Linked DNA regions of Mus musculus. The protein of the gene in region 2 purifies or fractionates together with the protein of the main gene of each other region. This does not show direct contact. Links are inferred from orthologs where the notes say so. Each region holds a gene or a part of one and is shown on either strand. Other genes may lie near its edges.

Region 1 (3,460 bases), on a different chromosome or scaffold from region 2:
CATACGAATCTGGAAGGAATTTCAAGATTAGTTAAAAGTTACATTCACTGACCAGTGTGGTGGCGCACGCCTTTAAACCCAGCACTCGGGAGGCAGAGGCAGGCGGATTTCTGAGTTCGAGGCCAGCCTCACTACAGAGTGAGTTCCAGGACTACACAGGGAAACCCTGTCTCCAAAACCAAAAAAAGTTACATTCAAACCAACCCTGAGAAGATAGACGGGGAAATCAGGTAACAGTCTAGGGCTAGGGCTGCTTGGGGAGACAAGTGCTCACCGTGAGTGACTGTCATTTCCTGGGCTCTCAGGCCAGAGAACTGAGTTCTATGGCAACGAACAACATGCTGCACTGTAGACAGTGTCTTCTCCCGTGTCTCCCGGTTACGCCAACCAACGTAGGGAAGTCAAAGGGTTGTATGTACAGGCAAGAAATAGCTTGAGACGTTTCAGACTAAAGTTTTGAAACTGAAGGGACCCAAGGAAACACCCTGGGCACAGTTCTCAGCCACAGGAAAGCAAAACAGAATCCGGCCACTGAGAGATTTCAGTCACAAGACCGTGAATCTCAAGAGGTGTAAAAGTGTACGGGAATGGAAGTACAGTGAAGAAAGACTGGCTGTAAAGTAGGCTTGGTTCTGTTTACATTTTATTGGCTCAGGGTTAGCCTCATCCCTCCCTCCTGACCCCCTCCCACGGGGTCAGGCTTTCCCAGGAGCCTTTGCAGCTTGGGCCCGCTGAAACTCCTGCTGCAGTTGAGCAAGGGTTTCCCTCTGTTGCTCTGACTGCCGCTCGAGGTCCCGAAGCTGTGATTCGTAGCGCTTGCTGAGGAGGGCAAAGGGAGGCAAACGGAGAGGAGATATCAGCCAGGGCTCAATGATATGGTGGAAGACTGGAGGTTTGTGGGACAGAAAGCGGGGATGGCACTAAGGGGAAGAGAGGGCTGCTGTCCTCCAAGGCTGGCACCTGAATTCAAGCTACAGAACCCCACAGTAGGGAGGCAAACATTCCCGCAGGTTGTCCTTTGACAAGTGCCCTCACCAGATGTCACACAGCAAGAAAGGCCAGGAGTGGTGCCACATGCCTTTAATCCCATCCTTTAGGAGGCGGCAGCAGGCGCATCTGTGTCAGGTCAGCCCCGTCTACAGAGCGAGTTCCAGGGCAGCCAGGACTTTACAGAAATGGGTAAGTGGAGAACTATCCAGCACGGGTTTAACACTTGTGCACTGAAAACGCCATCCGCAGGACTTACATTTCTGCTGTGATGTAGTCTAGCCTCTTCCCTACTGTGGCCCGAGCCTCCCCCAGCTCCTGTTTGACAAGCACGGGTCCCAGAAGCTTAAAGACCACGTTGGATCCATCCAGCAGGGCCAGCTCCTGAGAAGGGGATGAGGCAGTGAATGAGATGATCGTGCCCAGGAGAGTCCCTCCTCGCCCCCCACCCCCGCGTCCCATCCTCACCTCCTTCACGATATTGTTTTCCGTTAGCTGTGCTTCGAGCTTCTGCCTCCCTGACATAGATTTACTCAAGTCTGGGGTGGAGAGAGGAAATGCACGATTAAAAACATCAAATGGGCCCAGAACCGCGCAATTCTGGGGAGACTGGGTGTGAGGAAGAAAGCGACGATACCGAGGCGAGGGGTAACAAGATGCACCCCCGCAGCCCCCAATGGGGCGCGACGCTTCATCATAGATGAGAGCGGACAGGAGCGAGACCACACCAACTCCCTCTCTTACCCTTCTGCAGCTGTTGATATTTCTCTACCTCTCCCTGCAGCTTCTTTTGGATCAGTTCAGCCATGGTGAAGGAGAAAGCCTCCTGGGCGGGGGTCGCTGGGTCTCAAGCTCTGGGAGGCACCTGAATCCCCCCTCCCTGACCCTGCAGAAGGACAGCACTTTCTACCCGCAACTCTCCGAGGCGCCGCAGCCTCTTTTCGTCCAGAATAGCCACTCCCTAGGCAAAGGAGAGCGAAAGAAGAGATCCCCGAACCCTCCAAGCCAAACGCTAACCTCTTCACGCTCTACCCGCTGTAATCAATAAACCCGGAAGTAAACAAGGCATGACGGGAGAGAAAAAGACGGCGCCGGAAGTTACATTCCGATACATGCTGGAACATGTAGTTCTGACTTGTGTGAGGCTCGTTCGACCTAAAAGACTCGGCTCGAGAGGTTTTGGGCAAGACAGAAAAGTTAATATGGAAAAATCTAAGCTCATAGTTAACAAGATTCGGGGCTCATACATGCTTTTTAAATCTTTATTTGGTTATAAGCTGCTCCTCGGGCGATCCTCCCGGGCTCACAGAGGCATGCCCTCACTTAACATGGCGCCGGAGGCTTCAGACGCCGGTACGGCGCTGATTGGATGAAGGGGGGGACTTCCGGAAGTTTTCCTAGACCGCCGAGCTACTACTCAAGGGAGTTTCGCACGTGGATCGTTGTTCGGTCTTGGAGATGGAGACAGCCCCCAAGCCGGGTAGGGGTGTCCCACCCAAGAGAGACAAGCCTCAGGCCAAGAGGAAGGTAGCTTTGGTGGGAGGTGTCCGCGTCCCGGGCCCAGGCTCGGGCAGCGTGTGCGAAGGCTTTTCCTCTGCCCCTTAGAAACCGCGGCGCTACTGGGAGGAGGAGACCACCCCGGCCGCCGTCGCCACCTCCCCGGGGCCGCCTCGGAAGAAGGCGAGGACTGGGGAGTCGCGACCCCCGAGGTCCAAGAGCGCGCACATCGCCCAGAAGTCCCGGTTCTCCAAGAAGCCCCCGATCTCAAAGACCGCTCCAGACTGGAAGAAGCCTCAGAGGACGCTGTCGGGGGTGAGCCTGGGGTTGACAGGGTGGCGGTGCAGGTCGTCCCCGGAGATCGAGAGGAACCGGATCCATCAGAATCTGCCTCCTGCCTCCTTGTCCTCGCCAGGCTCAGGACCCGTTCCCAGGACCCGTCCCCGCCCCCCTGGAGGAGGCCCGGAAGTTTTGTCGAATTGACAAGTCCAAAACGGTGAGGACCGGCGGGCTGTCAGAGGGATTGGAGGCCGAGGGTTTGGATGAGGTGGTGGCGGCTTCCCCAGTGGTTTTCCTGGGACCCCCACATATGCTCTTCGGTTCTTGCAACCCTGTCAACAATGCCGTAGCTCCCACATTCGAAGCCTAAAACTCAAAGCAAACTCGAGAAGGCTGAAGCGCAAGAGGAAGAGGCAAGCGTCAGAGCCGCCCGCGCTGAGCTGCTGCTTGCAGAGGAACCTGGGTGAGTGGACCCCGACCTGGGCTTTCCCCGCTGTCCTGTCTCTCTGCGTTTTTATGTTTGTATGCCCGCTGCATGGTGGGGACCGTCACCGTCGTCATCCTAACTGCCTTTTAGGTTTCTGGTAGGAGAAGATGGGGAAGACACGGCAAAAATCCTGCAGACAGACATCGTGGAGGCTGTGGACATCGCCAGTGCTGCCAAGGTGAGCCCAGGCTGGGAGAGGAGCCTGGAGAC
Region 2 (3,669 bases):
GCTTATGAGTCTGCCTCTTTCCAATGACAAGACCACATGTGCCACGCAAATATGGCTGCTTGTGCCCAGAGGGACTGAGGGCCCATTATTTGACACAGCAGTTTCCACAAGGAGGCCATGTGCATACAGACGTGGTGTAGTTTTGCTTATCTAACTACTAGAGGTAATACTTACTCACTCAATGGTTGCATAGCTGCATCAGTTTCTTCACTAAATTTGAGACTGACTTATTTTGACCCGTACCCTAAGTAACACTGCCCATATGTGCTAGCTGTATTTGGTTTTTATCTTTTCTTTCCTTCCTTCCCATCTCTTCTCCCCTTTCCCCAACTCTTTCCTCTTCTCTTCTGCCTTTACTTTCTGTTGCTGGTAGTGTGTTGTTTTGCTTTTATTTGTGTGCGTATGTATGTATGTATGTATGTTGTTGTTGTTGCTTGCTTGGTTTGGAGGCTGGCCTGGAACTCGAGACCCTCCTGCCTCAGACCCCTCAGTGCTGGTATTACAGATATGTACCACTGTATTCAAGTCTTTGACATACATCAAGATTTAAGCAAAGCTATTGCAATAATATATTTCTTGGTTAAACACCAGAGCCAGATTGTCTGTGGATGACATATGTATGCACCATGCCTTGAACATCATCTGCTCTGCAATAACAATGCTAAGGATGGAATCAGTCTAGTCTAGCCTAAGAGTAGTTACCATAGCTAGCACCCTCCTCTTGCTCCTCAGCAACTCTGCAATGTCTTATAGGGTTAACAGTATTCTTACTTTGTCCTGGGTTGTCCCAAGACTCCTTTGAAACAAGGGGAGCAAGCTTCTGATCCCCATTTTGGAGATGAAGGGGATAAAGTGGCCAACCCCGGGTTTAGCAGGTTCATGGTGACAGAGATGTGATGGCAATTAGGGGATCCCCACACAGCATGCTCTCTTAGTACTGTGTGTATGATGCTAAGAAGGAGTCCTAGAAAGGGACTTTCAGACAACCTGACAAGGCATCCAGGAGAGTATGGGTGGTAGCGACAGAGGCAGGAGGCAGAGCCACGTGATCAGGTAGGGTCAAGCCGGGATCTTACCTCCAACGTGGTGTCAAAGATGACCAATTTGGAGCTGGTAGCCATGGCATCATAACAGGTGTGTTCCTGCATGAAGTGCATGTAGACCTGGGCTCCGGGCTTCTGAAGTTCGTCATCCCAACTCAGGCCGAGAAGTGGGGCCTGTGGGGATGGACCAGGACGAGGCCTGTCCTTCCCCAGGCCTTCCAGCTCACAGTCCCAGGCCTCTGGGGCTGGGAACTCTATGGTCAGCTCCAGGTCACCTGTGCTGGAGCCCCCTGCTGAGGCTGCACAGTCGGGCAAGAGCAGGTCCCACCCTGTGGGGGAGGTCTCCGCTTCAGCCAAGGGAACAGCTTGAGCCAAGGGTGTGGCCTTCGGGAATGTGGCCTCCTGCCTGGTGGACTCAGCAGCTGGTCTGGACTGGGCACCTGTTGGGGGAAGAAGGCAGGGACGACAGTAACTTCATCTTCCAAAGCATGCTATCTGGGCTTTCAGGGTTTGGCAGCACAGGGGGCACCGGGATGGTAAAGAGTCTCAGAGTCCTAGCTGACAGCAACTCTGTTCCATCCCAAGGTGGCTGCACTGGGACCCTGGGTCATCACATAGTTATTGCCTCTCGTTTAGGGAGGCAGAGGCCACAAGGTGAGACTGTGTTTAAGTCCGTGTGATGGAGAGGCCCGAGGTCAAGCTCTGCTCTGGAATTCCTGCTGACCCTGTCACCATAACTGACCTTGGCCTCACCTTCTCCCAAACCTGGTGGTTCTGCTTCCTCTACGGCCTCCTGTCTCGTCCATCTGGAAGCCTTGACTCCCCGTATGGCACAGGTTCTTTCTGAGCTGGTGGCCACAGCTGGTGAGGGCCATGAGTTTTCTCCTTGTTCTAAGAAGTCCATCTCTGGAAGGAGGAAAGGAATCTCTTTGACTAGTAGGAAATGATACAACAAAACCAAGTCCCATGTCATTACTGAGCCTCTTGGAAGCTTTCAAAGCCCCCCTCCCCAAATATTTCTTGTTTTCTATTCATTGGAATTTTCCAAGATACGTATTGTAAATGGGAATAGCATTCCTATTTAGCCTCGAGGGACCGGAAACTCTGAGAGGTTAAGCAATTTACCACAAATTTCACAGCTGGAAAGTGGTAAGGTGGGGTTCAGATCTTCAGCAAAGAGGAAAGGGGAGGTGGGGGACACATTGGGAAAAAGAAGAGGGAGAAAGCTGAGAGGAGAAAGAATTTCTCCTGAAAAAAGCCAAGCTAGGGGTTAAGGACTGGGGTTCAAAAAGACGGAGGACAAGGGAGCTAAAGAGAAAAGGCTAGACCCACAGGGAGCGATACTCCACCCACCTTGACTCTCTGGACCCCCACTGTGGCTCCAGGTCAGGGTCTTTGGGAGAGAATGTCTGAAGTGAAAATGCTATCCGTTCTCAAGTCTCTGGGTTGTCCCCTTTAAAAAGCACACCCACCCCAAACACCACATGTATACAGATAGGCACAACTTGCACACCCCTGGTACACCTGGAACCTCACACAGGCACGTACACGCAAAATACATACATACACAGCACCGACCAGTTCACACACTCAGAGTACAGTGCACAGCAAGCACGCGGGCTACACACGGGCGCCCACACACAGCCACGCGCTTGCTGTCCTTCTCTGTCCCAGCGCCGGCCCCCTGGGACCCCGGTACCCCAGGCAATGTGTGCTCCAGCTCGGGCTCCATGCGGCCAGCTCTAGTCCGTTAGCAAGTGCGCGACAGGCGGCGGCAGGGTGGCACTATTCTGGGCTGGTCCCTGGCGGCAGGCCCTTGAGAGATCGGGTTCTCTCTGATTGTCAGGTCTTGGGAGGGAGCGCTTAACCCGCAGCTGTTCCCGCACTGCAGCTTGGGGGCGCTGCGGAGGCGGAACTCTCATCTTCGAACTGAAAGTTTTAAGGAGAAAAGTTGGCTTCCTTCACTTTCTCCTCCATGCAAACTTCCCTAGCCTAGGTGGGATGAGTTAGAAAGGATACACTCGAGGATAGAGAAGGGTAAGGGGGTTGTGAGTGATCCCGAGAGAGGAGCAGAGTATGTCAAGACATCCCATTTTGGGTCCTGCCACCCTATTCCCTTCTTAGGTGAAAGATGAAAGATGGAGAAGGAGAATCAGACCGGTGGGCACTCTGCTGGTCATCCCAAAGGTGAGAGATGGGGCAGAGGGAGTGGGCTTCACACCTGCGTGCAGAGGGAGCAGTACCTGAACCGACCTGTGCCTGCGGGATGAATGGATGTGCGGGAGTCCAGTCCCTAACCCACCATGAGTACTGACTCTGCATCTCTCTGTGCCAGAGGGGAACCCAGCCTGGCTTCTATGCGCCTCACCCCCTTCCTTGGCATTCCTAGGGCCTGAGTCAGAGTCCAAATGGGGAATGCTGAGCCAGCTGCTCTGGCTTTCCTCTCCCTGTCCCTCCCTCCCTCTTGTCATTCCAGTCTCTTCCATCGCGACCCTCTGAGTGGACACTCAGGAATGGACTATTGGGTTTCCTGCTGGATTTAGTGAACATATTTTCTTTTCTGCTTCAAAGCACCTGCAATGGCCTCCGAGGAGGGTGGAGAAGAACTGTGTGGGGGGGGGGGGCT

The links. Proteins that work in one complex are often made in the same cells at the same time.
Region 1: the proteins of Prkag3 (region 2) and Pfdn6 purify together in Homo sapiens (affinity purification with mass spectrometry; 3 studies listed by BioGRID and IntAct, with this or other methods). This does not show direct contact. The link is inferred for Mus musculus from reciprocal best matches to the Homo sapiens genes PRKAG3 and PFDN6.

Annotation. Positions count from the first base shown.
Region 1 is NC_000083.6:33,938,293-33,941,752, forward strand, and holds Pfdn6 (prefoldin subunit 6), read right to left. Parts: upstream 2,052-3,460; 5' UTR 1,796-2,051; coding exon 1,732-1,795; intron 1,527-1,731; coding exon 1,456-1,526; intron 1,372-1,455; coding exon 1,247-1,371; intron 820-1,246; coding exon 696-819; 3' UTR 617-695; downstream 1-616. Other genes in the region: Wdr46 (WD repeat-containing protein 46), read left to right, coding at 2,357-2,467, 2,593-2,799, 2,900-2,980, 3,114-3,226, 3,341-3,428. UniProt on the Homo sapiens protein: Binds specifically to cytosolic chaperonin (c-CPN) and transfers target proteins to it. Binds to nascent polypeptide chain and promotes folding in an environment in which there are many competing pathways for nonnative proteins.
Region 2 is NC_000067.6:74,746,076-74,749,744, forward strand, and holds the start of Prkag3 (5'-AMP-activated protein kinase subunit gamma-3), read right to left. Parts: upstream 2,881-3,669; 5' UTR 2,776-2,880; coding exon 2,743-2,775; intron 2,437-2,742; coding exon 2,397-2,436; intron 1,950-2,396; coding exon 1,797-1,949; intron 1,484-1,796; coding exon 1,077-1,483; intron 1-1,076. UniProt on the Homo sapiens protein: AMP/ATP-binding subunit of AMP-activated protein kinase (AMPK), an energy sensor protein kinase that plays a key role in regulating cellular energy metabolism.